3 linked regions of the Mytilus edulis genome follow. Each later gene encodes a partner of the first gene's protein in a complex. Links are inferred from orthologs where the notes say so. Each region holds a gene or a part of one and is shown in the gene's direction. Other genes may lie near its edges.

What was found.
Region 2: THO complex subunit 2-like (region 1) and THO complex subunit 5 homolog share a complex: the UniProt entries of both Homo sapiens proteins name them as parts of the transcription/export (TREX) complex. The link is inferred for Mytilus edulis from reciprocal best matches to the Homo sapiens genes THOC2 and THOC5.
Region 3: THO complex subunit 2-like (region 1) and SAP domain-containing ribonucleoprotein-like share a complex: the UniProt entries of both Homo sapiens proteins name them as parts of the transcription/export (TREX) complex. The link is inferred for Mytilus edulis from reciprocal best matches to the Homo sapiens genes THOC2 and SARNP.

Annotation. Positions count from the first base shown.
Region 1 is NC_092351.1:66,491,823-66,503,085, forward strand, and holds the start of THO complex subunit 2-like, read left to right. Parts: upstream 1-7,118; 5' UTR 7,119-7,133; coding exon 7,134-7,198; intron 7,199-10,208; coding exon 10,209-10,359; intron 10,360-11,207; coding exon 11,208-11,259; intron 11,260-11,263. Other genes in the region: tRNA (carboxymethyluridine(34)-5-O)-methyltransferase alkbh8-like, read right to left, coding at 151-342, 1,472-1,591, 2,696-2,939, 6,843-6,968. UniProt on the Homo sapiens protein: Component of the THO subcomplex of the TREX complex which is thought to couple mRNA transcription, processing and nuclear export, and which specifically associates with spliced mRNA and not with unspliced pre-mRNA.
Region 2 is NC_092349.1:68,571,389-68,582,138, forward strand, and holds the start of THO complex subunit 5 homolog, read left to right. Parts: upstream 1-6,572; 5' UTR 6,573-6,612; coding exon 6,613-6,726; intron 6,727-8,455; coding exon 8,456-8,602; intron 8,603-10,750. UniProt on the Homo sapiens protein: Component of the THO subcomplex of the TREX complex which is thought to couple mRNA transcription, processing and nuclear export, and which specifically associates with spliced mRNA and not with unspliced pre-mRNA.
Region 3 is NC_092345.1:85,203,194-85,213,638, forward strand, and holds the start of SAP domain-containing ribonucleoprotein-like, read left to right. Parts: upstream 1-6,208; 5' UTR 6,209-6,305; coding exon 6,306-6,329; intron 6,330-10,445. Other genes in the region: uncharacterized protein, read right to left, coding at 1,584-1,677, 5,820-5,986. UniProt on the Homo sapiens protein: Binds both single-stranded and double-stranded DNA with higher affinity for the single-stranded form. Specifically binds to scaffold/matrix attachment region DNA. Also binds single-stranded RNA. Enhances RNA unwinding activity of DDX39A.

The DNA of each region.
Region 1 (11,263 bases):
AAGAAGATGTGGTCATTGTCAATGAGACAAATATTTACAAGAGCAGAAATTTATAACTATAGGTCACTTTATGGCTTCAACAATGAGCAAAGCCATACAACATAGTCTGCTAGAAAAAGGCCCTGAAATATAATGCTTGTTACTACTGACCTTGCCCTTGAACATATTTGTTGACTGTAAGTTGATCTGGTAAGTGATTGATATATCCTGTTTGAAGGGCCTTCTGAAGTATTTCATTACATTCTGCTGGTATAGACTGAGGCAGAGGGTCATCAGCATCCACATCATTAATGTCATATCTAAACTCGTACCCATAATGCAGCACTTCTCTGTGCTTCATCTCTGAAAATAAATAAAAATTCTCCCAAATGCTTCAAAACAATCATACAGTATAGTTTACATTACCAAAGGACAATGGTTAAGGCACTCAACTACAGAACAAAAAACAGGGAAACTGTATTCTTTTTATTCAATGATGTGTTTTGATGTTTATTGGCATTTTGATGTTTTAGAAAAAGTAAAGTAACAATAAATGGGGAATGTGTGCATGGAAGACAGATGATGCCCCTGCTTGCATATAACGTTATAAAGGTATAAAGGGACATAACCCAAGAACTGTCAAAGTAACACTTCCCAATCTGAGTTTTGTAGTACAATGTAATAAGTATTGTGTACACTTTTCATCACATAAGTTAAGAGAACGAAAAAGAATATTTCAATTTGTAAAGGTATATAACTCTAGAACACTAAAAGTGATTCCACCAAAATTTAAACCCTATCTGTTTTTTGTGATATTAAGCATTGTGTATCAGTTTCATAACATTAAGTTGAGGCAAACTCAAGTTAGAGATTAGATATAAAAAATTCAGCAATTTTTCCATTTGTAAAGGGGCATAACTTTAGAATGGTAAAAGTGACAACAACAAAATTCAAACTTGTTTTGTGTTTTTTTGGAATTAAGCATTGTACATGTTGTATTTAAGTTTCATAACATTTGTTTGAGGCAAACTAAAGTTAGATATTGGAAACTAATTTTGGGATGTACAGACATATGTAAGTACGGTCACAAGGGTAAAACTTAATGCTTCCTCTACTATGGTGGGGGCATACAAATACTGAACTCCAAGGTAAATTCTAATTGGAAACTTCCTTGTCAAATGGCAAATTCAAAAGGTCAAACATATCCAATGAAAACAACAGTCATATTCCTGGCTTTGTACAGGAATTTCCTAATTGTAGCAAATGGTGGATAAAACCTGATGTCATAGCTAGCTAAACCTCTCACTCGTATGACTGTGACATGATATAAGGCTTACATTTATCAAATTGCCAGTGTAAAATGGATATCAAGTACTTCTTTGCTTCTTTAATGTGATGTTTTAGACAATTACCAGTGAAAACTCAATATCAACTGATTCTGTTCAGGTTCTTTAATGTGATGTTTTAGACAGTGAAGTTATCTTGTACTTACGATTATCATTTTGCCAGTGTAAACTGGATATCAACTGATTCTCTTCTGCTTCAGACACAAAGTTTTCAAGTACAATCAGTCCAGGTGGTAGGTCCTTACAAGGTAAAATATTGGATGGAACTATAACATATAAACCAAATTTCATTCAAGTAAAAAATATCAAGTACAACGTACGATTAACTACTTTTAGTAACCTTTATCAGTAATAAATTTAATGATTGAATTAAATCATACAGTGTAAAAATTCAATTGTGCTTTTGAGAAAACAGACAAATTTTAATGATTTATTTTTTTCTAATTAACAAGACAAATTATTCAGTTATTATACTCTCCTTCCTGAACAAAGACCACAGAAATGAACATAAATCAGTTTAGCTGTAAATAGTTTGATTTCTATTTATTCTCTTTAAATGTGCATCTTTAACAATTCTTAACCACCCAGAAAACTTGAATACCAGTCTTAAATGATTTTCTTTGTAGCAAACATTTAATGAAATAATTATATCTTTTCAACCCAACAGTTTCCCAAAAGACCCTATAACATGTATAATGAGTTTTGTGGAACATATATGTTTTTTCTTCAGATTACTTTTCATTTGTGTACTACTTGACTTTTCCCTTTCACACTCAGTCTATTTTTCGCTGAAATTATTATACATATGAGAATAAGAATATGTGATTACCAATGAGACAACGCTCCAACAGAGACCAAATGACACAGAAATTAACAACTATAGGTCACCATATGAGCAAAACCCATACCCCATTGTCAGCAATAAAAGGTCCAGAAATAGTCCATCAAAAATGATTGCACTATATATTTATAACACATTATTTCCTGCCAAGTTATTTAGCATATATGTTGATGTGCCTCATGGTTGTATGAATCCTTTACAGTTCTGAACTTTTTTTATATTTTAGAACAGTAACTGCAAAATTGCATTGTCTGTTATTGACTGAAGGTTGTTGATCATGTTGATATTATAAACCCATTGTTTGTGTTCTTTAATTGGAAATGTAGTATCATCAACACCAAACAAATATTTTCACTCAAACTAAACTATGGGAGCCTTTAACTTGTACTAAGGCCAGTTTTGAAGGCCTTGGTGTGACTTTGAGATGAAGAACAGCATTCTTCTTTCCCTTAAGTTCAAGAAAGGAATTTATGTCATGTCCATCAATCTGTAATATAACCTTCCTTGGTAAAGAGAAATTAAAGTTTACCTTTGTTTACATATGACAAATAAAGTATAACAGAATGTTTTCTTTTCCCATTAGGTGGCATCTCAAGGCCATTAAACTCTTCACAACATTTTGTTGCGTCTTCAGTTGTTTTAAAGCAGACAATTGAGTATGGTTTCTTTGGCAACATGATGACATCAATGAGAGATCCATGTTTGTCAAGAGCTGTTGAAATTTCCTCTCTACTCACAGAATTGTCAAGTCCACCATTGTGAACACATATAATCTGTAATGAAAATTAACAAACTATATTAGGCCACACCAGTTTAATTTCTTGTTCTACGGACTTTTGGACTCCAAAATTTGGGGCGAGCAAGCAATTTGAAAATTTTAATAAAAAAAATATTTAATTTGCAAATTTTTGAGGCGAAGCTTGAAAAGTTAAGGCGAGTAATTAATTTTTTTTTTGTAAACATAAAATAGTAGGTTTTTACATTTATTAAAACTTGATTTATCACTTGTACTTTGACATTTCTTTAATTCTTTAATTTATGAAGTATTTTTCCCTCTTCACCAAGAAATAACTGAATAATTAAATCTGGTCTATGAGACAATTCTCCATCCAAGTCATAATCAGTTTGGGAACAACCCCTTAATTTTATAAATATCCCTTTTATGAGGGGTCAATATAAGCAGGGACTTTCTATACTAAGTAAGTAAGTATAGAAAGTCCCTGATATAAGTTGTAATATATATTTTTTTGTGAAAAAAACCCCACTTTTTAGTAAAACTAGAGGCTCTAAAGAGCTGGTGTCGCTCACCTTGCTCTATGTGACTATTAAACAAAGGAAGCAGATGGATTCATGACAAAATTGTATTTTGGTGATGGTGATGTGTTTGTACATCTTACTTTACTGAACATCCTTGCTGCTTACAATTATCTCTATCTATAATGAACTTGGCCCAGTAGTTTCAGTGGAAAATGTTAGTAAAAATTTCAAATTTTATAAAAATTGTTGAAAATTGACTATAAAGGACAATAACTCCTTAGGGGGTCAATTGACCATTTCTGTCATGTTGACTTATTTGTAAATCTTACTTTGCTGAACATTATTGCTGTTTACAGTATATCTCTATCTATAATAATATTCAAGATAATAACCAAAATTTGCAAAATTTCCTTAAAATTACTAATTTGGGGGCAGCAACCCAACAACAGGTTGTCTGATTTGTCTGAAAATTTCAGGGCAGATAGATCTTGACCTGATAAACACTTTTACCGCAGTCAGATTTGCACTAAATGCTTTGGTTTTTGAGTTATAAGCCAAAAACTGCATTTTACCCCTATGTTCTATTTTTAGCCATGGCGGCCATCTTGGTTGGTTGGCCGGGTCACGCCACACATTTTTTAAACTAGATATCCCAAAGATGATTGTGGCCAAATTTGGATTAATTTGGCCTAGTAGTTTCAGAGGAGAAGATTTTTGCAAAAGATTACTAAGATTTACGAAAAAATGGTTAAAAAATAACTATAAAGGTCAATAACTCCTAAAGGGGTCAACTGACCATTTTGGTCATGTTGACTTATTTGTAAATCTTACTTTGCTGAACATTATTGCTGTTTACAGTTTATCTCTATCTATAATAATATTCAAGATAATAGCCAAAAACAGCAAAACTTCCCTAAAATTACAAGTTCAGGGGCAGCAACCCAATAACGGGTTGTTGGATTCATCTGAAAATTTGAGGGCAGATAGATCTTGACCTGATAAACAATTTTATCCCATGTCAGATTTGCTCTAAATGCTTTGGTTTTTGAGTTACAAGCCAAAAACTGCATTTTACCCCTATGTTCTATTTTTAGCCATGGCGGCCATCTTGGTTGGTTGGGCGGGTCACCGGACACAACTTTTAAACTAGATACCCTAATAATGATTATGGCAATGTTTGGTTAAATTTGGCCCAGCAGTTTGTAAAAGTTAACGACGCCGGACGACGGACGCCGGACGACGACGGACGCCAAGTGATGGGAAAAGCTCACCTGGCCCTTCGGGCCAGGTGAGCTAAAAAAGGGCTCATATTTTCCCAAAGAACTGTATATTTATCTGATATTATGGGGACGAAGTCATCAATTACGGTAGAAAAATCAATAAAAAATTTTTTTTTTTTAAATCGGGAAAATTTTCCCGACTTTTTCATTCTAATAATGAACTCAAAATCGTTAACTTTTTTTTTTCAGATCTACTTCCTGTTTCGGTCTTGTTGCTTCCTATTCCAGTCTTGTTGGAATGAGACTTTGAATAAAATGTATATTTATCAACATATCAACAAATATATTTTAAATAATTGTTTGATATGTCCCCTATTACAGTAGAAAATTCAATAAAAAAAAAAAAAAAAAAAATCGGGAAAATTTCCCAAATTTCCATTGTACTAATGAACTCAAAATCGTTCAATTTTTTTTTTGACATGTTTTTTAATTTCCGGATCTGTGTAGAACACATAACTCTACTTCCTTCTTCCGGTCTTGTTGTTGTGAGACTTTGATTAGTCTAGTAAAATATAGGAACTCAAGGAACACAATACCAATATTTCATTTTTAATCATTCTTTGTCTTTGGTATGAATAAACGTTAGGCCTACCTGATGCATTGCGTTTCTTTGTTTACATTGAACATGACGTCATAACTTAAATAACGTCACAAGTAAAATCCCTAACAACAGAACCAAAATCGGAAACGTTACCGTATTTCCGTATCTTTTTTTTAACAAATATTTAAAATACAAAAAAATAATTTAAACAAACTTCGTCCCCATTCACAGGTAATGCCTGCCTCATATTATGAAAATAACGTTACCTGATAACAGCGTTTCTTTGTTTATATTGAATATGACGTCGTAACTTAAATAACGTCACAATTAAATCCCTAACAACAGAACCAATATTGGAAACGTTACGGTATTTCCGTTTATCAACATGTTTGAATAAAAAAAAAATAATACAGACTTCGCCCCCAGTCACAGGTAAAGCCTTCCTCATATTAAATGGTCAAAACATGTCCAAGAATTTTTACGGTAGAAAAATTAATTAAAAAAAAATAAAATAAAAAAAATCGGGAAAATTTCCCGAATTTTTCATTCTACTAATGAACTCAAAATCGTTAACTTTTTTTCAGATCTACTTCCTGTTCCGGTTTTCTCCGCTTTTGCGCAGATATCTGTCTTGTTTGCATGAGACTTTGAAAAAATTTATATTTATCAGTCTAGTAAAATATAATCTCAATACAAATTCAATTTTAATAATTGTTTGATATGAAAAAACGTTACCTGATAAAAGCGTTTCTTTTTTTTACATAGAATATGACGTCATAACTTAAAGAACGTCACAGTTAATTCCCTAACAACAGAATCAAAATCGGGAACGTTACATATTATTTTGGTTTCTTTTATCAACGTGATTGAATTAAAAAAATAATACATACAGACTTCGTCCCCATTCACAGGTTATGCCTGCCTCATATTATTCCTGGACGTTTACCATGTTAACATCAGAAGGGTGATTGGAGCAGATTTCAGGTCATTCTTAATTCCTAAATAATTTGTCTACTGTAAGTGTAATATGGGGACGAAGTCCCCAATTACGGTAGAAAAATCAATAATAAAAAAAAATTAAAAAATCGGGAAAATTTCCCGAATTTTTCATTCTACTAATGAACTCAAAATCGTTAACTTTTTTTTTCAGATCTAGTTCCTGTTCCGGTTTTACCCGCATTTGCGCAGAAATCTGTCTTGTTTGCACGAGACTTTGAAAAGAAAATTATATGTATCAGTCTAGTAAAATATAAGATTGGAACTCAATACAATTTCATTTTTAATAATTGTTTGATTTGAAAAAAACGATACCTGATGGAAGCGTTTCTTTTGTTTACATTGAATATGACGTCATAACTTAAGCAACGTCACAGTTCAATCCCTAACCACAGAACCGAAATCGGGAACGTTACGGTATTTCCGTTTCCTTTATTATCATGTTAGAGGTAAAAAAAATAATACATACAGACTTCGTCCCCATTCACAGGTTATGCCTGCCTCATATTAAAAACTGTAAATAGTGAAGAGAACACTTTTTTACACATTTTACAGACAACACCTGCCTAGTACTAAACTAATTGATTCTTAATGTGTTAAACCTTTGTTGGTGTTTCAGTAATTTGTATCCCTTCATTCTTTTCTAACATGTCACGAAACTTCATCTGCTTTTTCTTTAATTTTTTGTCGACTTTTGACATTTTTGTCGTGGCACTGGGCGCTGCCATCTTGAATTTAATCTCTGGTAAAACTGATATTTGAGTTTTTATAATTATTACTATTTTAATTTTAAGATATATTATTTTTATTAATTTTTATTCTCAAGTATCATGTTTTATGTTTTGTACAACAACGAAAGTTATTTAGAGACTAAATTATTTGACGTCAGAAAGATGGCGGCGATGGTGCTAGCCGACGTGAACTCTAAATCATGGGATAAATCAGTAAAACATGACTTGTAAGAATGAAATCCTTGTGACAGTATATGCTTTCTTATAGAAACAAAAATATATAACATTTAAATTTCAAAATAAGCTCGGCATTCCGTGTATTTGCGGAGAATATTTAGAAAGCGAAAGTTGATCTTGTCCATGTGCAAAAGCCAAAACAATCAACACTGGACATCACTGACCAAAGATTCTGATTTAGTGATGATATTGATATAATTTAGCAGTATATGAAACACGATAAACCTCAAAGTCAGACAATAAAAGCACTTAAAATATGTATCACTGCCTATAAAAAGACAAAATAATTGGAAACAAGTAAAAAAAATCTTTCTTAAAAAAATAGTGAAGACCATGGGCATGGCATGAGTTAGTCTGAAATTACTCTGACGTCCAACAGCTATTTTGCCAGACAAACTGGGGCTGTGGGATGTCTGAGCTCGTTTTACATCAAAAAGTGGATATTTGCCCGTCCAAAATAGATGCGCTGCTTTGTCGCTTCTAGTGCCAACTAACGGCCTAGGAATCATATAAATAGGGTATCAATTTGTTCATTTTTCATTTATCTCTTCGTTAATGTAAGTTTCATCTACCTGCCACCCTTTATTTTCTTACATTCAGACAGTTTTCGCAGTGACCCATCGTTTCAGACATTTTTATACGACCCCAAAAAAAATTTGGGATCATATAAAGGTATGATGTCGTCGTCGTCCAAAGACACATTGGTTTCCGGATAATAACTTTAGTTTAAATGAATAGATCTTTATGTAATTTTTTCAGAAGGGTCAATACCACAAAGGGAAGGTTGGGATTGATTTTGGGGATGATAGTCCAAACTGTTAAGGAATTAAGGGCCCAAAAGAGGCCCAAAACAAGTATTCTTCTACTTTCAGGATAATTACTTGTGTACATGTATTTCAATTGCTCTGAAATTATACCACATTGTTTAAAACCACAAGTAAAAGGTCTGGATTCATTTTAGGGGTTATGGGGCCAAAGTTTAGGAATTTTAAAGGGCCAACACAAGAAATTTTTTAGTTGCCAGACAATAACTTGTGTGTAATTGTAAGGTTCTCTCTGAAATTGTACCACAATGTACCATATAACAAAGGGGAGGCTGGGATTAAGTTTTTGGTTAATCACCCAAAATATGTAGGAATTAGGGGCCAAAAAAGGACCAAAAAGAAGCATGTTTCTAGTTTCCAAACAATCATGACAAAACTTGTGTTTAAGTGTATGGATCTCTCTGAAATTGTACTGCAAGGTTCAATACATACAAAGGAAAGCATGGGATTGAGTTTAAGAGTTATTGCTCCAAGGGGGGTTTTAAAACAGGGGGGGGGGGGTTGTTTACCATTTTTTTAAGGAATTCCTTTTTTTCAAAATTTTCAAATTTTGAAAAGTTTTAAGAAGAATATTGTGCAATAGATTTGTTAGATCTTTGACCACATTAATTTTGTGACATAAACCTATATTATGTCAAAAATTTGATCACAATCCAAATTCAGACAGTATCAAGCTTGAATATTGTGACCAAATTTGCCCAAACTGTTCAGTGTTCAACCACACTGGGGTCGTATAAAGCTGCGCCCTGCGGATCACTTGGTTACAATTATTTTCAAATGGTTGTCAAGTTACGTGAGACTTTATGACCTCGAGACGCAAAAATGCAAATATTTATACTTTTTTCAACTCCTTTATAGATCCGTATTTTTACATTTAGAAGCCAACCACAATAACAGTCGGAAGCTCTCGGACATTTAGATTACTTGCATCGTAAATGAATGAGGTGTTAGATTATGGTCATTTGCATAAATCATCACTTTTTTCTCGTGGTCACGTGATAATCTTTGAAAGTGAAAGTCAAAATGCAGAAATTGATGGGTCACTGTGAAAACTGTTTAAATATGGAAAAAATAAAGGGTGGCAGGTAGGTGAAGCTTACATAAATGAAGTGATAAATGAAAAATGAACAAATCGAGACCTGATTTTACAGTCTTCACGCTGAGTGGCAGCCCTGGCAGCCCAGGCTTGTAAAATTGCTCTCGGGCCTGTAAAAATCATATCTACAGGCCAACAGAATCTAACTAAACATTTTCAAAAATTGAGCTCCGGGCCTGTAAATTTAGCAGTTCATCGTGAAGACTGGATTTATATAATTCCAATGTCGTTAGTCGACACCAGAAGCGACGAAGCAGCGCATCTATTTTGGACAGGCAAATATCCTCTTTTTGATATGGGACAAGCTCTGACGTCCCCAGCTTGTCTGGCAAAACAGCCGTTGGACGTCAGAGTAATCTCGGACTAGGCATGAGGGTATTCCAATGTTATTTTACAGCAGACATTTCTACCCACAAGACTTGCTTTTTTGATTGATTACCTAATGTAGTTTGTATAATTACGCAGATATTGTAAAGTGCAAATCAACATTCCCTATCACTTGTTATGCATACATTAATTTCAATAATAAATATTCTTACAGTGCATCCCAAACTCTGTTTAACTGACAAAATGTCAGACAAAAAGTCATTTGGTCAGACAGAATTTAAAAACATTTTTAGTTGAAAATATATAGTCGAACGTGTACAAATGATGAAGAAAAAGTTTCTTTTTCAGTCAGAAAAAATTTTAAAACAGTTTGGCAGAGGGAGAATGATTACCTAAAACATAGATAATGATAGATAATGACATGAACATTTTTTATCGTAAGAAAAATATATACAGGGATTTTCCAACCTTCATTTTGGGTCCAAATTTGGGCCCCAACCCTAATCTCGTTAGCTGGGCTCACTCTCCAAAAATGTTCACATTGTGTCTCACGGCAGATATTTTACAATATCGATGTGGAGAAAACCCGATAATCTATACTTAAGGTGCAGGACATACTGCTTTTAATAATCAGAAATAGTTTAACATTGAAACTTATTACCTTATGATATTATTTTTTAACATGATTAACTTCCAGCTTCCAACTATTAATATATTTTGAAATGCAATAATTTTCTTTCTGTTTCTTTGCAGCTTGAAACAATGTAAATCATTTGTAAATGATAACAAATTATGGACTCCAGGACCCAAGTCACTTAAGCAAGCTTTCTATGACTTGTGTTCAGTTGTATCTAAAGGCCATGTCAAACAGGAACAAGCTGTATCAGTATTAACAGATCTCTGCGTGAGTAATCCACCTTCATATCAGGTTTGAAAATACATAGGCTATAAGAAATAGAAAATAAGAAAAAAATTATATCGTCGCTGTTATGCAAAAACCTCGTATCTCAATTTTTTGTGGAAATCTTTTTATTGATTATTTAGAATTAAATATGTATGTTCCACTGTATGCGAAAATATCTGATCTTCTAACCAATCATTAACCTGAATTCTGACATGTGACGAAAAAGTGTAGTCGGATTGGTGAGAAATTTTGTTGTTCGAAAATATCGTATCTCAAAAGAAAAACACACGGCACGGCAGCTGGCATCATAACAGCTACAGTTTACTGAATCAATTTTAGGTTCTCAAAGCTAATAAAGCTTAGAAATAATATGAAAAGCTTTTAAAATACAATATAGGTGCAGACATTTTTGCTCGTCTTGGTAATTTATTGGTTAGAAGATCAGATATTTTCGCATACAGTGGAACATACACATTTAATTCTAAATAATCGATAAAAAGATTTCAGTTTTTACTGCCTGGTGTAAAATAATCAAAACCTTAGATACGAGGTTTTTGTATAACAGCGACGATATTTCTAAGGTCAATATTAAAGACTCAAACTGTAAACCAGTATCCTGAGGTTTGACCAATTATCCAATGTCTCATTAACAGATAGAAAAGACCTTTTATATCAAGTAAAAACAGTTTGAGAATCAAACCATTAGAAAACCTTTAAAACAAAGGTTGAACCAATAACATTTTTGCGATAGTTTCAACCAATGAAATGTAATTTAGCTATCAGTATTTGCACAGTCATGACAGTGGAATGATACTTATAATAAAACACATTTTCTTTTATGATTTCAGGATTTCAAGAAGGAGGTTCCATTATTACTTGTTGATGTCTTTTCTATATTTGGTAA
Region 2 (10,750 bases), on another chromosome or scaffold:
GTAGTTTATATCTACCTGTTAATTAGGAGTTGTCCAGATAAGTAATCAAAGGATTAAGGTCATCCAAACCAATTAAAGTAATCCCTATTTAATGAGTGATCTAATTATTGGTAATTATATCACCTTTTATATATATTGCATCAATTTAAAAGAGGAGTGTGAAAATTATTTCATTAAGTTCAGCTGAAATCTTTGATCTCAAGTGCACATCTTCACCTTAAGCAATTACAAACGGTGACCTTTGATATAAATTTTAAGATGAAATAAAGAAATGGTTTTGTCATAATTATAAATTTACATTATTAAAAACACCAAATATGACAAAGAGAACTTTTATAATTTTTACTGCATATTACAGAATATATGTAATATATAAAAGATGATATTTTAATCATCTAGTTTCTATAAGAACTCATCTATGATCCTTTTAAGTTTAGAGGTTGTACATGTTATTAATACCTAAAGGGAACGGTTTCATCACATGCTATTTTTGTTTACCTATGTAGGTAATTTTCAAGGTGAGAGTATATACCTATTTACATGACAAATAGATAAGTAACTTATGTCATAGTCATGTTTTTGTCAACCCAATACTTAAATACTAACACTTGTAAATAATTACACCCAGACAAATAAATGTTAACAGTAATTTATGGATATGTTATTTTCTATAATATATAAAATATCAATTAGTAATTTTCCCCATAAGTAATACATAATAATGACCTTACAATTTTAATAATTGTCCCTTATCATATTGTGAAAGAAAAAATATAAATTGTTATAAGAAAAAACATTCTGACAAATTACCAAAACTGAAATATTTTATGAGGTTAAATTATTTACTAAAAGTTTAAATCAAGCAAGATCAAATATTTTTAAAAAAATCTTAACTGTGCTGATATTTCATTAATAAACAAACTTGTCCGGACCATTTCTGTCAATTAAAAAGTTTTCGCATTTGATTATTGAGCCCTTTTTCCTCACTGCTCAAAATTTCCTTCTATCAAATAAGTAAAAAGTGAGATCTAATAATATTTGCAGTAAGTGCACCAACAATCTACAGAATATATTCAAAGCAGCTGCATGCATGTTTTAAACAAACATGGGTATGTGACTCTGTCTGTTTGACATGTCAGGTTAAAAAATGTTGTATTCTTGACAGTCTAACCAGTCTTTGATGGCAAGTTTAAAAACTAATATTTTAGTTAATTTTAATTAAAATAAGCTTTCAAAACTTTTTTCTATAAAAAAGTGAAAAATAGAACTCTGCTTTAAATTTCAATAGTTTATCCATTTACAATTCAGGCTGTTGATTTGATCTGCCAGTACTGCATATTTTGAAAAGAAATTGTTTCTGACACTGAGATAATTTGAAATGGTACATGAAATATATGAAGAAATTTAAAATAGAATGTGGAGTTTAATGACTAAATTATGTATGTGCAATTCCGAAATAATTGACCGAAAAATAAAATATTTTAGTTAATTTTTCAGCATAGATCTCTGGAACAACACAGCTGATCCAGATTCCATAGTATGCATATATATATCAAAATCAATAACCACAGGTGTTGACTTACCTTAGAAATTCTTGCAGACAACTCTCACAGAATCGGTGACCACATGTTGTTATCTTGACGGGATTTTTCATTGGCAAGCCACAAATCGAGCAATAACATCTTTTCCTTAATTTTTCGACGAAACCTTCTGAATATCCAGGCATTATTGTAAGCTCCTGCACAGTTGTATCATGTATGACATTCACCAAGAACTTCCTCTGACGTTTTGTTTAGGGGAGTGTCAGTTGTGACCCACTTTTCCTTTTGGAGATCCGTAAGCTTCATACAGACACAAAATAAGGATGTGCAAAAGCATATGTTTCTAAAAATTCAAATATTGGTTGATTTCAAAGTAATATTTAAAATTATCTGTAACCATTGAATTGGATAAACACTTATTGTGTCGAAAATTCAGAGAGGAAACGATTTGCATCGATATCGTCTTCCTTATTATTCACGAGGTGGGCGTGTCAAGCATTGAAAGTGAAAGTAACTCGTGTTTCATTTACTTTCACTTTAATTTTATATATTTTTACGCGGGATTACACATCATGTTGAATATTTTTAAAAAAGACACCAACATTTCGTGGTGTTATCCGATCTTCTTTCCAATCAGAAAGATTGTTAATCACTTTCTTAAGCAAAATAGAAGACAGAAAATGTTTTTAGTATGACTTCAATATACCATCAATATACGGAATATATAAGAAAAAAAATAAATATGTTATATTCACATAAAAACAAAAAAACAACCACTGAACTGTTAACTTTAATCGGCTAAAAAAACAATTACATCCAATTTCAATGTCTTTCACTGAAATCTGAATCTAAATCCAACATCCTATATTGAAATTATTGATAAATATCTATAAACATATACATTTTTACCGTCTGCATTTTTTTGTTCATTTGCAGTTGAAAGGACTTAGGTATACTTTGGGCTCATTCCTTTTATTCCAGTGTTATGATAAAATTTCAGAAAAGTGACATGCGACATCCCAGGCATGATAGACACATGCAGGGTCTTTTCCACATTTTCAAGTATAAACAGTTTACGTTTATATCAATATTTGACACAATCTCATGCGATTTCTTGTGACTTTATGTTTTAAAAATATATATAAATGCATCATTCCCTAATCATGGAGAGGTCTAAAGTCACAGTAAAGATGTGTGTCGTTTTAAAGAGTTTTTATGTTTATAACACAGGTCCCATGGGTTACCGTCCCATGGTTAGATATTTTTTTCTTAATCTCGTCTGTCATATTTGGTTTATAATACATGTATATGTTTTCATAAATGTCATAAGTTTTGACAGCCATGTTTGATTTGATATGTATGGTAACTAAAATATATTTGTTTATTTTACACTTAAGCAGTCGAGATGAACGCTCAATGAGGCAACCCGGCGAAAAGAAGACACAAGATTTCCGAGGACAGCAGCAGATCATGTACTTTTCTATCTCCATCTTTGCTGGGTCCATGAGTGTATGCACAAAATAATTTTTTACATTAAAAATCACTGCATTATTCGATATTGCAATTACATTATATAAAAACCACGGGAATTAATTATCTATGGAGCATAAGCATTCTGATGAAGACTTCAAGAAAACCAATTTCGTAGGTAATAAAGTTAAGTATATGAACGGTTATGATATATATGTATACCCTATACATAATTCCCATATTATCTGACCAAAAACTAATTGACCGTGCCGCTTTGAAACCCGTTTTTTTTAATTCATCATTTGCGGCAACGTTAACTTTAATCAAAATCATATAACATTTGTAGTTCAGCTAGGGATTTTTGCAGAAATGATTTACAGATTAAGGTTTTTGATTTCTTGATTGACAGCAAGAAGAACTTTAAAATTCAGAAACGAAAAATGACGGTTCTATCAAATTTTAAAAATAAGAAGATATGGTATATAATTGATTCAATTGACACACGTTAAATCTCCACCAGACACCAAGTGACATAACCCATTATGCATAGTCAGCTATAAAAGGCCACGAAGTGACAAATGTTAAACAAGTCAAACAAGGAAAAGTAATGGCCTGATTTATGTTTAGAATAAGGAACGAAATACAAATATGATATAGAGCAAAAAACGACAACCACTGAATAACAGATTTCTGACTTGAGAAAAACACATATAGAACCCGCCCTTAACCTGGCAGTGGTGTAACAGTTCAACATATAAACAAACTGTAAAATTAGTTGAAACGACTTAACTCATCAGATTGGTACAAAGCAGAAAAACAAGTAAGAAAAGCACAAACCGAACGTGGGTATTGGTGCAATCCTACAACAACAAAAAAGACACTAGGTACAGATCTAAGAGTAATCACAGAACTTTACTGACAACAAGTTCAAAGCCAATAACAACTAATAAAATAGTCAAAAACATAACCATGCGCATGGCTTTTTGTGCAAAACTTCTTTATACTGGGAAGTTACTGCATATTTTATAAATGAACTAGGAATCTGATGTTCAGTGGTTGTCGTCTGTTAATTTGGTTCATGAGTGGTTCTGGTTGCTCGTTTTTATATAGTTTAGACCGTTGGTTTCCCCGTTTGAATGGGTTTACACTTGCCATTCTTGGGTCCCTTTATAGCTTGCTGTTCGGTGTGAGCCAAGGCTCCGTGTTGAAGGCCGTACTTTGACCTATAATGGTTTACTTTTATAAATTGTTACTTGGATGGAGAGTTGTCTCATTGGCACTCATACCACATCTTCCCATATATATAGATTGTTGTGCAATGCCACAATACATGTATCAGATTGTTGTACCGTGAATTTGCATATGCATATGAATATGTATAACAATACTATTAGTTTTGGCTTTAATCGACTTTACAACTCAATACCAGACGATGTTTATCAAAACAGGATAATGAAGGTATTTAGTTATTTCAGTTACAGCAGAATGCAATGAGTGTGAAGGTAAATGTAGACTCTTTAGTAAGCTTGCTTGCTAGCTGAACCGTAAGTCATTATTAAGTTAGGTACACTAACCTGAGGGCCTCCTTTTAGAGTATAGTCTGGTCCTACAGACCGATAGATTAGTTATCTGTCGGACTTGTCTACTCTTTCAGAAGGATAGTTTACCTAGCCTTATAATGACTTCATGGTTCAGCTAGGTTCAGCTAGGTTCAGCTAGCAAACAAGCTAACCAAAGTTATTATCTTTACTTACACACTCAATGCATTCTGCTGTAATGAAGATGACATTTCTGACATTTTTGTTTGTTTGTATTTTTTTTTCAATGTTGCAATTAAATGAAATACTAAAGCATTGAAAATGAAACATTTTAAAACAGATTTACAAAAAACGAAATCCGAACATTTGTCATTTCGGGGCCTTTCATAGCTGACTATGTGGCATAGGCTTTGCTCATTGTTAAAGGCCGTACGGTGACCTATAGTTGTTAATTTCTCACTGTGTCATATGGTCTCTTGTGAAGAGTACTAGTTGTCTAATTGGCAACTTAATCATAAAAAACCAACAAGGTTACGATTTGATGCGTAAATTGGTCTATTTCAAAAGCCTCAATGCTAAATAAATCAGTTCTTTTCATATAAGTACCGTGATTGTTTTCTCCAAAGTAAGCCCATCATTTGGAAGTTTTTGTCAACATATAATAACTGTGTGCAATTTTCAGACCTAAAAGCTTGGACACCAACTACGATTAAAAATGTTTTGTAACCAAAAGATTTCAATTTTGAAATAAAATTCATTGATATAAAAACGTTTTTGATCGTGGATGTTGGTCAAGGTTAATCAAGGATTTCTAGAGTACTTTACAAATCTTTAGGTTAATTAAGCCAAAAACAATGAAAAGGATTGGAAAATTTACCAAAATTCACGTTTAAAAACCAATATATAATTTTATTTTTTTCTGTAGAGACCATAGCTTCGTAAATTTTAAAGGAATGTCAACTTTTAAAGGAAGGTGCAAAAAAATGTATTTTGTTAATAGTAGTCATTATCACACGTATTTCTATATGAAATTTGTAGGTTCTTTTATTTTATCTGATTGAGAGGAAAAAACCATGCATCTTAATTAGGGCCAATTCCAACTCTTCGTGAACATCCTCCTTTGTTTTTAAGCTAGCTAGATGTAACCCCGCCCCGAGAAAGTTCAGTATTACTTTTAAATCATGCGTGAAAAGGCTGGTACAGAGTCAGACGTGATAAAACTACAGTATATGATTTTTTTTCTACCTGTATGTGTCCATATAAAAGCAATACAAACCAAACATACAAATCAATGATATAAAGATACCCATAAAAGAGGCACCCAGTTAACCAACATATCTATTTTACAAACAATATACTGTTGGCACGTAATGTTGTTTTTTTGGTTTTTTTTAGAGAGACAGATTTATAAAAGTTTTTCCAAACTTGTTTCCGAATCCCATATATGAACTTTATGTAACATTGTAATATTTATCTTGTCATTTTTCATTAATAAATACTTTTTAAACTAAAAGAACCCTTGTCAGTTAACTAAGCTGTGCAGAACAGTACTTTTTTTATGCTGCACCTAAAAGTCTTGTATGACTATCATTACTCTATTATAAGTAAACTATCAATATTTGATTACAGTTACCAAGTGTCAATTGCATGATAAGCACTGGCTTAACTGGGTGCCTCTTTACCAACGAAGAGTTAAAACTTCAATGTCTTCAATGCAAGGATTTGTATTCCTTGATCAATGTAATTCATTGGGTTGTGTAATTGAGTTTTCTTGAGGTAATTAATGTTGTTATGTTCCTTTGTTTTTTGTTTTTTATATTTTCATTATATATGAATTAAAGAAATAATGTGTCTATATGAGACTACTATAACACAGTTTCTTGTGCTGACAACATACATAACTTGATTACGTTGCAAGAAGAATAACTCTTATTAAATTCATCACCTTGATAAACAACTGAGTTTAAACTGAACGCTCCTAGAGTGTAGTCACTGTAACGTTTTATTATAGTACATAGAAATCTAAGTACGAAAGAGAAATATTCACATCGAATTTAAAAAAAATGAGCAGCAAGGATCATCACGAAGTCGAAGTTAAAAGGAAAAGAAGCTTAAAAAAAGAGTCTTCTCCAACCAGAGGAGCAGGGGATGTGAAAAGATCGAAATCATCAACAAATGTAAAAAGGCTGTCATAGATTTGAAAGACAGGAATCATGTTTAAAGTCGATTTCAATACCAGCAAATTATCCGTTTTGTGATTCTTAAAGAATTTCTTCTCTGAAGCCCTTTTACTCATAATATTTTAACCAAGGATTTGTATAGTACTTACTATACAAATCCTTGTTTTAACCAACTATATGTACCTCGCCTAGTACCAGTATCCTTTCCAAGTATCAGCAGCATACAGTTTATTGCTGCTTCAAAATGTTGTTGCTGGAAAAATGGCTAGTTTGCCTTTGTTTAGTCTGTTAGTTGCGGAACCGTAGCTCTTAGGTCCTTATGTTATTTTTTTACTATTTACAGACAATATTTAATTTTCTCGTTTGTACTTTTATGTTGTTTTTTTTATTGATAAACAATGTTTTAATAATTGGCGTGTGTGTGAGTTTGTATTGTGGAAAATCCTTCATAACTCACTGTTTAACTGGTATATAATCATTTGATTGACAGTTATAATGGCTTGTTAATTATTTCATCTGTAAATTTTTATTAATTGATTCACCAATTGAAAAGTGATTATATCTAAATGGTCATCTTAAACAGCTATGATGTTTTTTTGGTGGGAATGCCAAATCAATTATTCATATTTCTAAAAATCAAGACCAAACAACTGATGCAGACCCAACAGGTGCTACAGATGAAACCATACCAGAACCAAATACTTAATCAAACCTCGCAGCAAGTTTTGACATGACATGTACATGTAGACCCAAAAAAGATCTGACAGCCACAAATATAAGAAGAATTGTAATCCAACTTTAAAAACAAGGACATATGAAATACATACACATGACATATATTAAGTAAATTCCAATTTCATATAATATTTATATTTATCGCCTCTAAATTTAAAAAAAAAGGCCAAGTAAGCTATTCTCATCACTTGGCATCCATGGTTGTCCGTTGTCATCGTTAACTTTTTACATTTTGAACTTCTAGAGAACCACTGAATGAAGTGGAACCAAACATGGCATGAACGTTCCTTATGAGGTGCTGACCAAGTGTTGTTTCTTTGTAGCCAATCCATCATCCGAGATGGCCGCCAACGGGGAATTTAGTATACTGTAGATTCATTTATTTTCATGGATTGAGGAAAACTTGCATTTTCGTGGATATTTAAATTTGTGGTTTTGGAAAAGTCTGCATACATTCCTTCAGCAAATTTGTAATTCGTTGAACATTTAAATTCGTGGTTCCCCTGTACCCATGAAATCCACGAAAATTAGTACCCAATGAATGTTAATGAATCCACAGTAACATAGGACCCTATTGGAAATGCATACAAAAGTCTTCTAAAGAACCACTGAATGGAATGAAACATAGCATGCATGTTCCATATGAGGTGCTATCCAAGTGTTGTAACTCCATCATCCAAGATTGCTGCCAGCAGGGGACTTAGTTTAACGTAGGACCCTATGAGAAATACTTACAAATGTCTTCTTTTACAGAACCACACAATGGAATGCAATATTAAACCAAATTTGGCCTCAATCCTTATTTGAGTATCTGTTGTGATTTTTGATATTTTTTTTATATGATTTCAAAAACCCAAGTAGAGTCAGGTGAGCGACACAGGCTCTAAAGATTTGAACATGTAGAAAGATTGCTTGCAATGCAGTAATTTTGTACTTGTACTTCTAGTTTATCTTAAACTTATTGAATATTATATTTCCTTTCTGTTTTAAGGATGTTAAATTGTTTTATGCTGAGGAAGAAGAGGTTGAACACAGAGATCCTAAAAAAGATCTGAGCTTGTTTAAATCAACAACGGATGATGTTAGAAAGTGTTTTAAAGATATCAGAGATTCTAAAGATAAACCAGACAAATCCACCGTAAGTATATATATATATCATTTCTGCGTTAAATTTGTATGCATTTAAACGAAAGACAAGAAAGTAGACAAAGAATCACAAAACCAAAAGACATTTACATCAACAGTTATAAATAAAAAATAAGAAACAACACGAACTGTCAACGACGCACATATTGTCTGTTCTAATATTTGTAGGAAATTATATTATCAGAGGTTCAGATGTTTAGATGTTTGACAAAATGGGTATCGATAAAGCACAAAATTAAGTGTTTAATGAAGTACAAATTGTCTATAAATTTGTACATAGAAATTTGGCAACCCACAATATCAAGAATTTATAAAATTAAAAAAAAAATGATGATTCCACAAAAATAAGTACATGTATCATCAAATATTAAAGGGAAATTCCGCGATTTTTTACTTATCATCTAATTATGTTCATCTTAACATGAAAAACACATTTGCAAAGTTTTGAATTTATATTCCTTCTAAAAACGGAGAAAATCAAGTATTTGTAACTTTTTTGGTTGAATTCTCGAGTGGGTCGTGACGTATTAGCCCGATTTATTGAATTCTGGGAAAAAATAAAATCTGTTTAACTCTTATAGCTTATCGACAATATACGTAATTAAAAGCGCACAGCTGACGAATGGTCGAAGTTATTAACCACAATATAAGAATGAACGAAAATGAATATGCATATACCGTTTTGTATTGATTGAATTAAACTCTTATAAAATTATCTCTAGTAAATGTTTTTGAATAAATTTAATTAATTATTGTTGAGATTTTTTTCATAAAATATTTATTGAACATTTTTACTGATATTGAACTGAAAATATTTCAGTTCTATTTGCCGTTATTGTTTTGATAATCATTTCAATGCAACTAATGTGTGAGCAGAGTGTGTATATTATTTTGTAAAGGTCACTGTATATTTCTCGGCTTGAGGTCAATTCGTTTACCTTGTAGCTATTTAGCCGCAGGTGTGAGTTCAAGCGTACACAGGTATAAATGTTGTTATTTGGAAAGGATAAACAGAAAGGATTAGAAAGAGTATGCTGTCACGATGTTAATACACTAAGATTTAATACACGATGAGAATAAAGATACAATAATTAAATTGTGTAAATTAATTGAAAATAAAATTCAGATTCGTAATTCCGAAAGTGTATAAAAATAAAAGGAAAATTTTTTATTACTTTCTTAGCGGCAATTGGCGTAAAGATTCAAATATGAAGCAAAAAATAGTAGTTTTAATCTTTTATAAAAACTAAATGCAATATTACCCAATTTGATATACCATTGTACATCTGTTTGATATCATTGACCTTACCGGAATTTCTTAACTTGTATTCAAATCTGGCTGTGTTTAAATGCTAATAAAACTATTGCAATTTTAAAGTTTTTAATTGACAAAAAAATACAACATACAACATGCATGATTTTTTTTTTAGTTTCTTTTTAACATTTTATTCTTACATAATTAAATTCATTTGACAATCATTTACACGAACTTTTTGTGAAAAGAATATCAATTATCTAAGCTAAGGCATTATTTCTTTTGAGGATTTTTGAGAATTTTTTTTAAAATTCTATGATAATATTTGTGCAATGTTGAACATGATAGCCGTCATTAATCCAAATAAGTAATACAGTAGTTGTAATAAAAGTTATATTTTAGTCATGCATAACTGATATTGACGAATTTATAATAGTTCGTCCATACATCGTTGTTCTTGAAACAATCATTATTAGTATGAAACAATCATTATTAGTATACATGTAAGTTTCCTGACGTATAAGAGCCATTGAGGATGAGCTCCAGAGAAATCAGACTAGTGGCGTTTCGTTCGTTTGTTTGTTGGGAAAGGAGAGGAAATGCAACCGCTTGTACAGATAAACGACAGAATTACCATACAAGCATTTATAGTCAACACAATCAGAAAGAGTTCCCATCGTTAGACGGGGAATATGAAGGCTTCCAAGAATGAACAAGTGACATGTCTAACTCTGAACAGTTAGAAAACAGACTATCGACATCGACCGTTTGTTCTTAATATTTGAAACTGTATGCATATATATATGTATACGTTTATGATATATATAGTGATGAGTTCTTGCGTCTGACAAAAACTAAATTCCTTCATGGTTATATCTTGCCATA
Region 3 (10,445 bases), on another chromosome or scaffold:
AACTCGACTTTTGTAACTCGCAACTCGACTTTCGTAACTCGCAACTCGACTTACTCGACTTTCCTAACTCGCAACTCGACTTTCGTAACTCGCAACTCGACTTACTCGACTTTCCTAACTCGCAACTCGACTTCGTAACTCGCAACTCGACTTCGTAACTCGCAACTCGACTTTCGTAACTCGCAACTCGACTTTTGTAACTCGCAACTCGACTTTTGTAACTCGCAACTCGACTTTCGTAACTCGCAACTAGATTTCCGTAACTCGCAACTCGACTTTCGTAACTCGCAACTCGACTTTCGTAACTCGCAACTCGACTTCCGTAACTCGCAACTCGACTTTCGTAACTCGCAACTCGACTTTCGTAACTCGCAACTCGACTTTTGTAACTCGAAACTCGACTTGCTTAACTCGCAACTCGACTTTCTTAACTCGCAACTTGCAACTCGACGATAAGAAACCCTCTCTTTTTTTTTAGCATATTCGTTTCTTTCTGTGAATGATATGACACTATTTTTTCATTCATTATTTGTCACTGGAAGTTATGCAGCCATGCGTAAACCAGTACACATGACATATGTTTTTGCGCTAGCTAAACAATAAAGAAATATTTTTAAATATATTTGATATGAATATTAAATATAAGGTCATCTATATATCTGTTACCTATCAAAATAGCAAAATACCAAGATATATTGATGTATAACATATACAAAAATTCGTCTAAAGTTTTGAACCGACTAGTAGAGGGGAATAACATACTTAACCCTCGCCAACACGGCTTCACGAGTAAAAGATCATGAGAAAAACAGCTCTTTGAATGCGATATAACAAAAAATTATGAAAACTGAACTAAAGATATCTACTAGACTATATATTCAAATGTTTGACAAAATATACCACGGTCTTCCCTAAACTGGAATCCGCTTGTATTATCGCCACACTCAAATACTTAAACCTCCAAATCATCTACAAATTCATCCAAGAGCATGCTTATATTTGTAATCAGCTGACATAAAAAATAAATCCAGTGTCTGCAACATGAAATATGAACTAGCACTGAAAAGCCTAAAAACGAGGCTCAAAGAATCAAGACTCGCCTATCAAAATTGCAAGTGACCGTGTAGCCATAGGAAGAGACATATATTACAATTGTATTATATGTCTCTGCCATAGGCAAACAAAAAATACTTACAAAAAAACAGCGAAAAACTGTAGTCGTACAACCAATCTTTCAAACCTATTACAACCAGCAGGCGCGGATCCAGGGGGGGGGGGGGGGGGGGGGTCCGGGTTTTTTTTTGGACGATCAATGCATTTGAATGGGGACATGTAGTTGGAACCCCCCTTTTTGTCCTGGGTTAGGACCCCCCCCCCCCCCTTTTAAAATGGCTGGATCCGCCCCTGACCAGCTACAAACAACTGTAGGACATGGTCGAGAACTGAAACAAATTGCCTCTGGTAATCGCCACAGCCATGTCACTTGAAATATTCAACACCATTCAATAACCATGTATATGAAAGAAAAAAACAATGTGTATTGATTTTTGTTCTTTTAAAGAAATATGATGTAGGATACTCACTGCCACATTATTACAGTCGTTGAGAGTAAAAGCATTACATGGATTCCAAGCATAAGCATCTGCTTGTCCATTAGGGTCAATTATATCTGCATATCTGTAAAAGAATGCGCAAAAATTCTGTTTAATTCTGTGTTATAAGACATGAGGCTCTAAAGAGCATGTGTAACTCATCTATAGGTGCATGTGCAACTTCAACAATGAATACTCTTCAACTGTGTGGACTAGGATGGAATTCATGAATTCGTGACAAAAATATGTTTTAGTGATCTTGTATTGCTGATTTTTTTTTCTGATCATAATTTCTGTTCATCTTTAGTTTTCGTCACAATTACGCAGAAAAAAAGAAAAGTTGTCTTTTTAGGGCAGTCACTCCTATCAAGAGTCTAATAAAGATTTCAGCAAAATTTGACTCATTTGTCGATCTGATCTTGTTGATCATTTTTGCTATTAAAAGTATCTATCTATCTTTCATAGTTTGAAAGATAAACATCAAAAACACAAAAAGTCGGTAAATATAGTCATTAATGAACAAGACCTCTTTCAGCAAGGAGTCAAAGAAAATTTCATCCAGATCAATTTGGTATTTGAAATGGCTATCTATCTGTAATAGTTTTCAAGATAAGGGGCAAAACACTAGAAATGGGTAATAAATTGTCACTAAAAGGCAGTAAATGAAATCAGGAGTCTACTAAAGAATTCGGCCATTAGACTTTTTTGTAGATCTTATCTGACTGATCATTTTTGCTATTTCAAGCTTCTATCTATCTATTGTAACTTATAAGATATATGACGAAAATGGGGGAAAAAGTGGTAACAATTGCCACTAAAGGTCAGTAACTCTAATAAGGTATCTTAACAAGAAATCTTACAAAATTAAGAATTAGTTCCCACCCTTTTTTGATTGAAAAGGGCAGATATTTCAGACCAAAATTTAAGAGAGAAAACAGAATATGCTTGAACTGTAATCAAATAGAGGATGAAAAACATAACCTTATTTATTGCAAAAAAATTTAAAATTATAGAAAACAACTATTTAATCAAGATCTGCGCCCTGAAAAAGTTATGAAAACCATTATTAGTTTAATTAACCCACAAAATATTGATGATACAAAAAATATATGCCATTACATAAAATTAATTATGCTTTGAATCTTTGTAATTTTATTCATTTAACCTTGATTTGATATTTTGTCAAACATGATATATATGTATTTATGTGATGTAATATCATGTTAATGTGGGGGAAGACATCATTAAGTCTTTCCACTTTTCTGTGGAAAGACTTATTGTTTTTCTTCTGATTATTATTTTTTTTTTCCGCCAAATTTTGTTCTTGCGATAAATGTTTGTTTCGCAATATGTCGCTTAGATATTTCTCATATGGTATCGTATAGTTTACGCGCTTTTAAATTTTACCCTGCTAAGCCGAACCATTTTCTTTGTAAGAGTTATCTCCCTATTCACTGTTTATCATCTGTGTGCATCTCCTTCGTAACAAAAAAAGATAGCGACAAAATTCTTTTTACAAATTGTTCGTTACATCCTCAGTAATTTTTGGCGCATTTGGAGCGAAGCGATTCGATGAAATTTTATAGGAGTTATCTACCTTTACAAAATAAATTTGTCGGTATGTTTATTTAACTCATAAACCGTTAACTGTATAACCCTGGAATGTTTTTATTTGAGTCCAATGGGTCCCAACTTAGAAAATGAGGTCAAGGTCAAAGGTCAAGGTCAAGTTCTAAATTGTGACTTTTGCTTGTTTTTGCATTTTCTCCGACACTTTGAGAGATACACATAAAAGAACAAGTGCAAATGTCAGCTTTATTGTAATGAAGATATGTTACATTTAGTCTTATACAATTAAATGGCATCTTATAGGAGTTGGTGCCCCTGAAATGTCTTGATATGAAGTTATTTGATTATAACTTCAATTAAGTTCATTATAAAGACATTTGACCTCATACAAAAGGTTAAGTGACTAATGACCTTGAAAAATGGCTACCGGAAGTGACCTTTAGAAAACCGGAAGTAGCTATTTTTGCAATTTCTTTCACCTAAAAGTACCCAGAATCCATATATTTTGTCATATAGATACATGAACAGATTACTGAAGACTAAAAATGACTTCCAACAAACCGGAAGTGGCCAATTATCTCCCATTCTACATACAAAAGTATATAGAAACTATATATTTTTGGAATCAGTGTGAAAGAAGCTATCATATGAGACCGGATGTGACATTAATTTCACCGGTAGTAGCATATTATCTCCCTTATATCACTCAAAAAGATAATTAAACCATCATTTATCGCATCAGTATAAAGAAACTACCTTCTTATCCAAATTACTTTAGTTTGGAAAGACTTTCAATTGTTCTCTGAACAATTGGTTTTTAATTATACTTGTATTGATTTTCCTGATTTAATAAAAACTTGTATCATCGGACGATTTCAACTACTAAACTTATGGATCTTGTGTTGCTGATAGTTTTCAGTTTTCTGATTTATGTTTCAATCTACCTATTTTAATTTTTCTGACATTAGACAATTTTTTTTTAAATCGTCATTAAAGGGCTATTACTCCAATCAGGAGTCGTCTGACGATTTTGACATTTTTTGTAGATCTTATCTTGCTGATCATTTGTGCTTCTTACCGTTTCTCTATATCTATTATAATTTCAAGATAAAAGATCATAATAGGCAAAAATGGAGAAAATAAATGATAAAATTCTTCGCTTTTAAAAGGGCAAAATCTATAGACATTAGGTAGATCAGCATTGTAAACTCGCACCTGCAAAGTGGAAAGGGATTAACATAAGTTGCAAAACTTATTTCACAATCCACTATAAATAAATATGTTTAAACTAACCATGTTCAAGAATATTGGACATTTCCAAGCGAGATAACCCTACATTTTTTTTTAATAAAAACTCTGATAGTTTTAAATTGCTCACCGAGATATATAATTTATTATGACAAATGATATCTCGTATGTGTATTAAAATTAAGTCTTTATAATTTTGGTAAATTGACATAACCTCGGTTTTGAATGTATCTGTGTTATTCAATTGTTCATTTTCCCCCCGAAATATATCATGGTCACAGTATATCAAATTCATAAACTGTCATTTTGATTGCATTTCAAAATGCAGTTGACAACAGAAAACATTGAGTTAAAAAAAAATCTTGATAATTAGATTGTTTCATCATTTTTCAATCTTATCTGCTATGGAAAAATTAACTGCGACGAATATCGGAATTTTTAAGAATTTTTTTAAGTCAAAGGTACAATAACCACAATAGTAACATAGGGAAAAAAGAAAAAAAGTATGAAGGCTATTTTCAAATGTCCATTGACAACAGTAAACGCTGACTTTATTTTTTTTTTTTTTTTTTTAAGTATCATATTTGGAAATCCTTCTTAAAGTTCACTTGCTATGGACATTTTTTATCACGTTTTTTGTAAAAAAAAGATATTTTAAAAATCATAACAGGGTATAAGTGTTTTCCGTTTACATCAATGATAACTATAAAATTTATAAGATTTATCTAAGACATAGCACGTGTACTGATTAATTTAAAAATTTAAATGTCCTTCATTCTTGTGTATGGGATGACGGACACCAAATGTGTGAGAAGTGAACTTCGTTTGCTATTTTCTATAAAGTTTGTCATGGTTTAAATCAATCACTAAATTCCAGAATCTATAAGAATAAAACACAGTGCATTTTTGAACAGATAACTAAAAATTCATTACACAAAAGTTTAACAAAAAAAAAACCCCGAACTTGCAAAACATTTCGGGCTTTTCTCGTGTTAATTGTCGAAAAAAATAATAGAACCCTACCTTACATTCAGGAGAAGAGGGTAGTTAAAAGTAAGATATGAGAAAATCGGAAGCTAACTGATAAAAGTGAAAAGTCAACAGAATTAAACTGTGACTTGATTGATGAAGATAACCTGAGTCGTGTGTGTAAGAATGCAGTCACGGATTGATTGGAGAAAAAGAAGACATGACTGAATGAGCCATGTAGATGAAAGGATTTGTGTCTTTTGATTTGATTAGGGACTTTCCGTTTAGAATTTTCCTCAGAGTTCAGTATTTATGTGATTTCACTTTTTTTTCGCAAACAGTGACGGTTCCTTTCCTGACATGAAATCAAATCTTATTGAGTCAGCAAAATAATTGTTAGACTCTGAACCATGTTGCTATAAATAAAAAGAACAAACTTACGCAGGGGTTCCATCCTTTTTCGCCAATGGAGTTAAATCAATTAAATGTCCAGAATCTGTTAGACAAGAACATGCTGATTTTTTAGTGCAACTCTTTGCTAGAACGTTCGAACTACATAGAATCAAAATGATACAAACACATGAACATCCAAAGGTAAATTGTAACATTTTGAATTAAGTCAACTTACACCTAAATCGTCATGTGATTATATTGATAATAGATACGAGAACTGAGTTTCATAGGGCTTTGTTACGTGATAACACTTTAATGTAGATAAAGATCTGAAATGAGAGCATAGGACGTTGGACTAATCAATTACTCGACACGTTTCGTTGACTTGGGTCTATATCAATAGAAAAATTCGTTATTTTGTTACTATTTTTATTTGTATACATAGTAAGCAAGTCCGGATCTTTTTCTGGTTTTTCTCGGTAATGGGCGGAAGTTTAAAATTGTGATTTCCGGTTAAATAAAAAGAAAAACACGATGGAAGACTTGAGCACTTTGAAGGTTTTTAAAATAAGTTTCTCCACAATCATAAACATAATGCGTTAAAAAAAATAATGTCAAAAGTAATCATGATAAAAACTATTCTCATATGGCGAGAATCGGGGGTCAATTTGTCATTTTGGGAGCATGGTTGAATGTTCATGGAATGGCAAAAATGAATTTGTATGACAATACACCTTATCGCTAATCCCGGCTGACCCGGCCGCTTGAACTTTTGACGTCAACAACAATCACTTTTCCATTGTGGCGTCAGATATTTTGTTTTATGACGTCAAAATTTTAGGGGAACCTGTGTGATTTCCAGCAATGGCGGACAAATAGCGATAAGGTGTATGAGAGTAGGTGCCCTGTACTGCCAGGTGTCAAACGGCCATTTTCGGTTATCGTTTACGTTAGCGTCAAATTGGTTGACATTTTATCGTGATTCATCAAAATAACCTTATTGTGATTCGTCAAATAACCTTATTGTGATTCGTCAGAGGTCTCATATTTTTTTATCGAGGGTGAAGCCCTGTGGAGGGTCCAGGGGGGGCTTTGCCCCCTGTAAGCTCCTGGGTTTAAGGAAAAGGAGATACTATGGTCAAATTAATAAAAAATAACTTGTAATTTTGGCATTTTTTTTTCAATGGTGTAGCTTTGATGTGTTACCAGAAAGCCTAAAAAAAATAGTTTTGAAAATGTGATGTACAAGCATAAATTTCAATCCTCTTGGTTCAGTGTCTTTTCCTGCAAGACACCGACTGTGACTGTCACATGTACAAGAAACATATTATTATATTTCATGAATAAATATTATAATTTATCATAGGCTGCACCCATACATCATACCATATTTGCATTTTGACTAAGATGTTTTTATGTGTAACAGTATAAATATTTACATTCTAATTATATTTTTTATGACAATCAATGAAAAACATTCATGGCTTATCTCCACTGACAATAAAACATTTACCCTTGTATTTTGAGGGACGAAAGTTATCATGCTTAACAGTAACACTTTGGTATTTTTGATAAGTAAAGTTCTATGTACCGTAGTTTAAGTTACTTGGTAAGAGAAATAAGCCACTAATTTTTCTCATTGGACCCTGTAATTGAGTACTTAAATACAAATATTATTATATCAATCTGATTTATTTGATTCTATTAAAACATGTTGTTATTTTCATTTTGTTCATCATCATCATCCTCATTATCATCATCATCTATATACATTTTTTTGATTGCAGCCTGCACTTCAAGCCTTACCTCCTCTCTGTCACTTAAACTTGTAAGAGAAACAGGCTCTGTCTGTACTGACATGTCTTGTACTTCAGTAATATTTGGAATAGGATTTTGTTCGTTTTTCATTCTACAATTTTGTTTTACTGCAAGTTTCCTCCTGTTTTAAGTTCCTATCCATGTTTCCACTGCTTTTGGTACAGTGAAACCTGTCCAAACCGAACACCCATGGGACTTTGTGTTTTGTTCGGTTTTCACAGGTGTTCGGATTGTGGAGGTAAACGGAAGTGGACAGCAAAATGATTTAGACACTGACGACGGACACCAAATAATACACCAGACGACGGACACCAAGTAATACAACAGATGACAAGTATTGTCGTGTTGGTTTCAATATAAAATAAAATAAAATATATCAAAAAGTTATTTTATAGATGCAGAAAAAACAATTACAATTTTTAATGAACAATAAAGTGCAAGTTCAAACTGTTAATCGATCTCATTGTACAGAGAAATAATTATCCAATGTTGTCTGACGTGTAGCTAGTTTGCTTTTTACAATCAAGTCCTCGGTCATTGAAATCATTTGTTCCGTTTGATCTAGGTAACGGCTATCCTTAGAAATAGAAAAATTGCGCAACTTTGTCAATAAATCCAAAATGTCAGTATGGTTCATATCGGAACCGGGTTGAACCTCTGTTGGAATGTCTGTGTCAATATCTTCGTCGGATTCGATTAAAGTATCTCCAGTAAATTCCCTGATTAAGTCCGTTTCCCACTCACTATCAAATGCTGATTCGGTGGCCAAATTGTCATCAACATCGTCAGCTTCTGTAATTTGTACACTCGGATCCCTTGACCTTAATTGTTCCACTAAATCGGCTAACGGTATGTCGTCATCCGGGTCTTCAGGCTCATCTACAATTGTTGGGGCCTCTAAGGGGAATCCCGCATCACGAAAACATGATTCAATTGTTGTGGATTTAGTTTCGTTCCACGACTTCTTAATCCAGTGAATGGCTTTTAAAACGTTTATTTCTTTGCAAAGTTCAGTAACTGTATTGCAGTTGTCAATTTGTGGCAGTAAATGTTTGATCATGTGCTTTCTATATCTCGCTTTAAAGGCACGAATAATACCCAAATCAAGTGGCTGTAGTTTAGAAGTCGTATTTGCTGGGAAAAACTTCAATTCAACATTACTAAGCTTTAGATTGTGCGAGTGAGAAGTTGCATTGTCAAGGAAAATTACGATTTTCCTAGATTTTTTCCGCATGTCCCGATTAATGTCCTTTACCCATTCAGTGAAAAATGTGCTATTCATCCAGGACTTTTTGTTAGCCTTCCAAGTCACAGGAAGCGATTTAACATCCAAATTGCGAAAACATCTAGGTTTATTAGCGTTACCAATGACTAAAGGTTTTAGTTTCTCGCCTCTGACACTACAACACAGCATAACAGTAAGCCTTTGTTTTGACATTTTACCCCCTTTACATTCTTTCCCACGCTCCGCTAATGTCTTGTCAGGAAGGGCACGAAAGAAAAGGCCTGTTTCATCAGCATTGAACGTATCCCTTGGGTCATAATCTTTAACAATTTCGGGTAATTTACTTTTAAATTCTGCAACAACGTTTAGATTCACATCAGCACTTTCCCCGCAAACTTTGAAAAATCCAATACCGTATCTTAAACGCCAGCTTTCTAGCCATCCATTTGAGGCTTTAAACTCAGGCAAATTTAGCTCCTTTGCGAACTCCAAAGCTTTTTCCTGTAAGATAGGTCCACTCAAAGGAATGTTCTTTTCACGAGCACCTTTAAACCAACGAAATAGAAGTTCATTCAAATCGAAAAATTTACTTGAACTGGCATGACGTTTCCTCTTACTTCCTATGTTTTCTTCGTATTGAGTACGATATGTATCTTTACGTTTAAGAATGTCACAAACAGTAGCTTTCCCGATCCCATACTTTAAACTTAGATCCTTTTGTGAAATTTTTGGAACTGCCTCCGAATCTTTAATTAAATCCATTTTGTTTTCAATAGAAAGTTCCTTTCTTGCCCTTTTAGGCGATGGAGAAGGTTTATCATTTTGGTCGAATTTACGTTTCTTCTTAGGAGTTTCCATTTTAACACTGCATTCGTGAACATGTACAAGCTAATTAGTTTATAAAAACAACTCACCATTAAATTAAAATTTAAATACCCTCAAGGGATCCTCTGCTAGCCTATGATTGTTAAATCACGCATGCATATTGTTGTAAATACTTACATTGTTTTGATTGCTATCGATCGATTTTGACAGGTAAATTTTTTATACACATTGACTAACGGGGCTTTAAATGTCGTTCGGAATTCGGTGTTAGCAGGATTCGGTTTTATCAGGTTAAATTAACGGTAATTAATAGAGAAATGTTACGGGACTTTAGAAATTGTTCGGTTTGATATGAAATTCGGTTTTATCAGGGTTCGGTTTTACCAGGTTTCACTGTATAACATTGGATTTTTTGAGACTGTCCATATCAGGACCATTTATACAAACATGCATATAGGCTACAATTTTTTCTTTTATTTCAAAAGAAGGGCCATGGGACAGGTATACATATGATTTATGGTAAAAATGAAGAGTCTGCTTTTAATTAGTTGCTCTATCACTTGAAAACAAGAAAATGAAAATCACTTAATGAAAATAATGTGTTGTCTGCTTGTACTAGACAAGACATTGCTCTCATTTTTTCATTTCATTGTAGGACGACGATCATGCACTTTATGAACATTACCAAGGCGGGTGTCTCAATTATTTGAATGCAAATGTCATAGAACAAATTTTTTTTCTCGCTTTGTTGTTGATTGAAAAAAATCTGAAATTCTTTTCATTTCTCTGACTCTGCTTCACTTTTT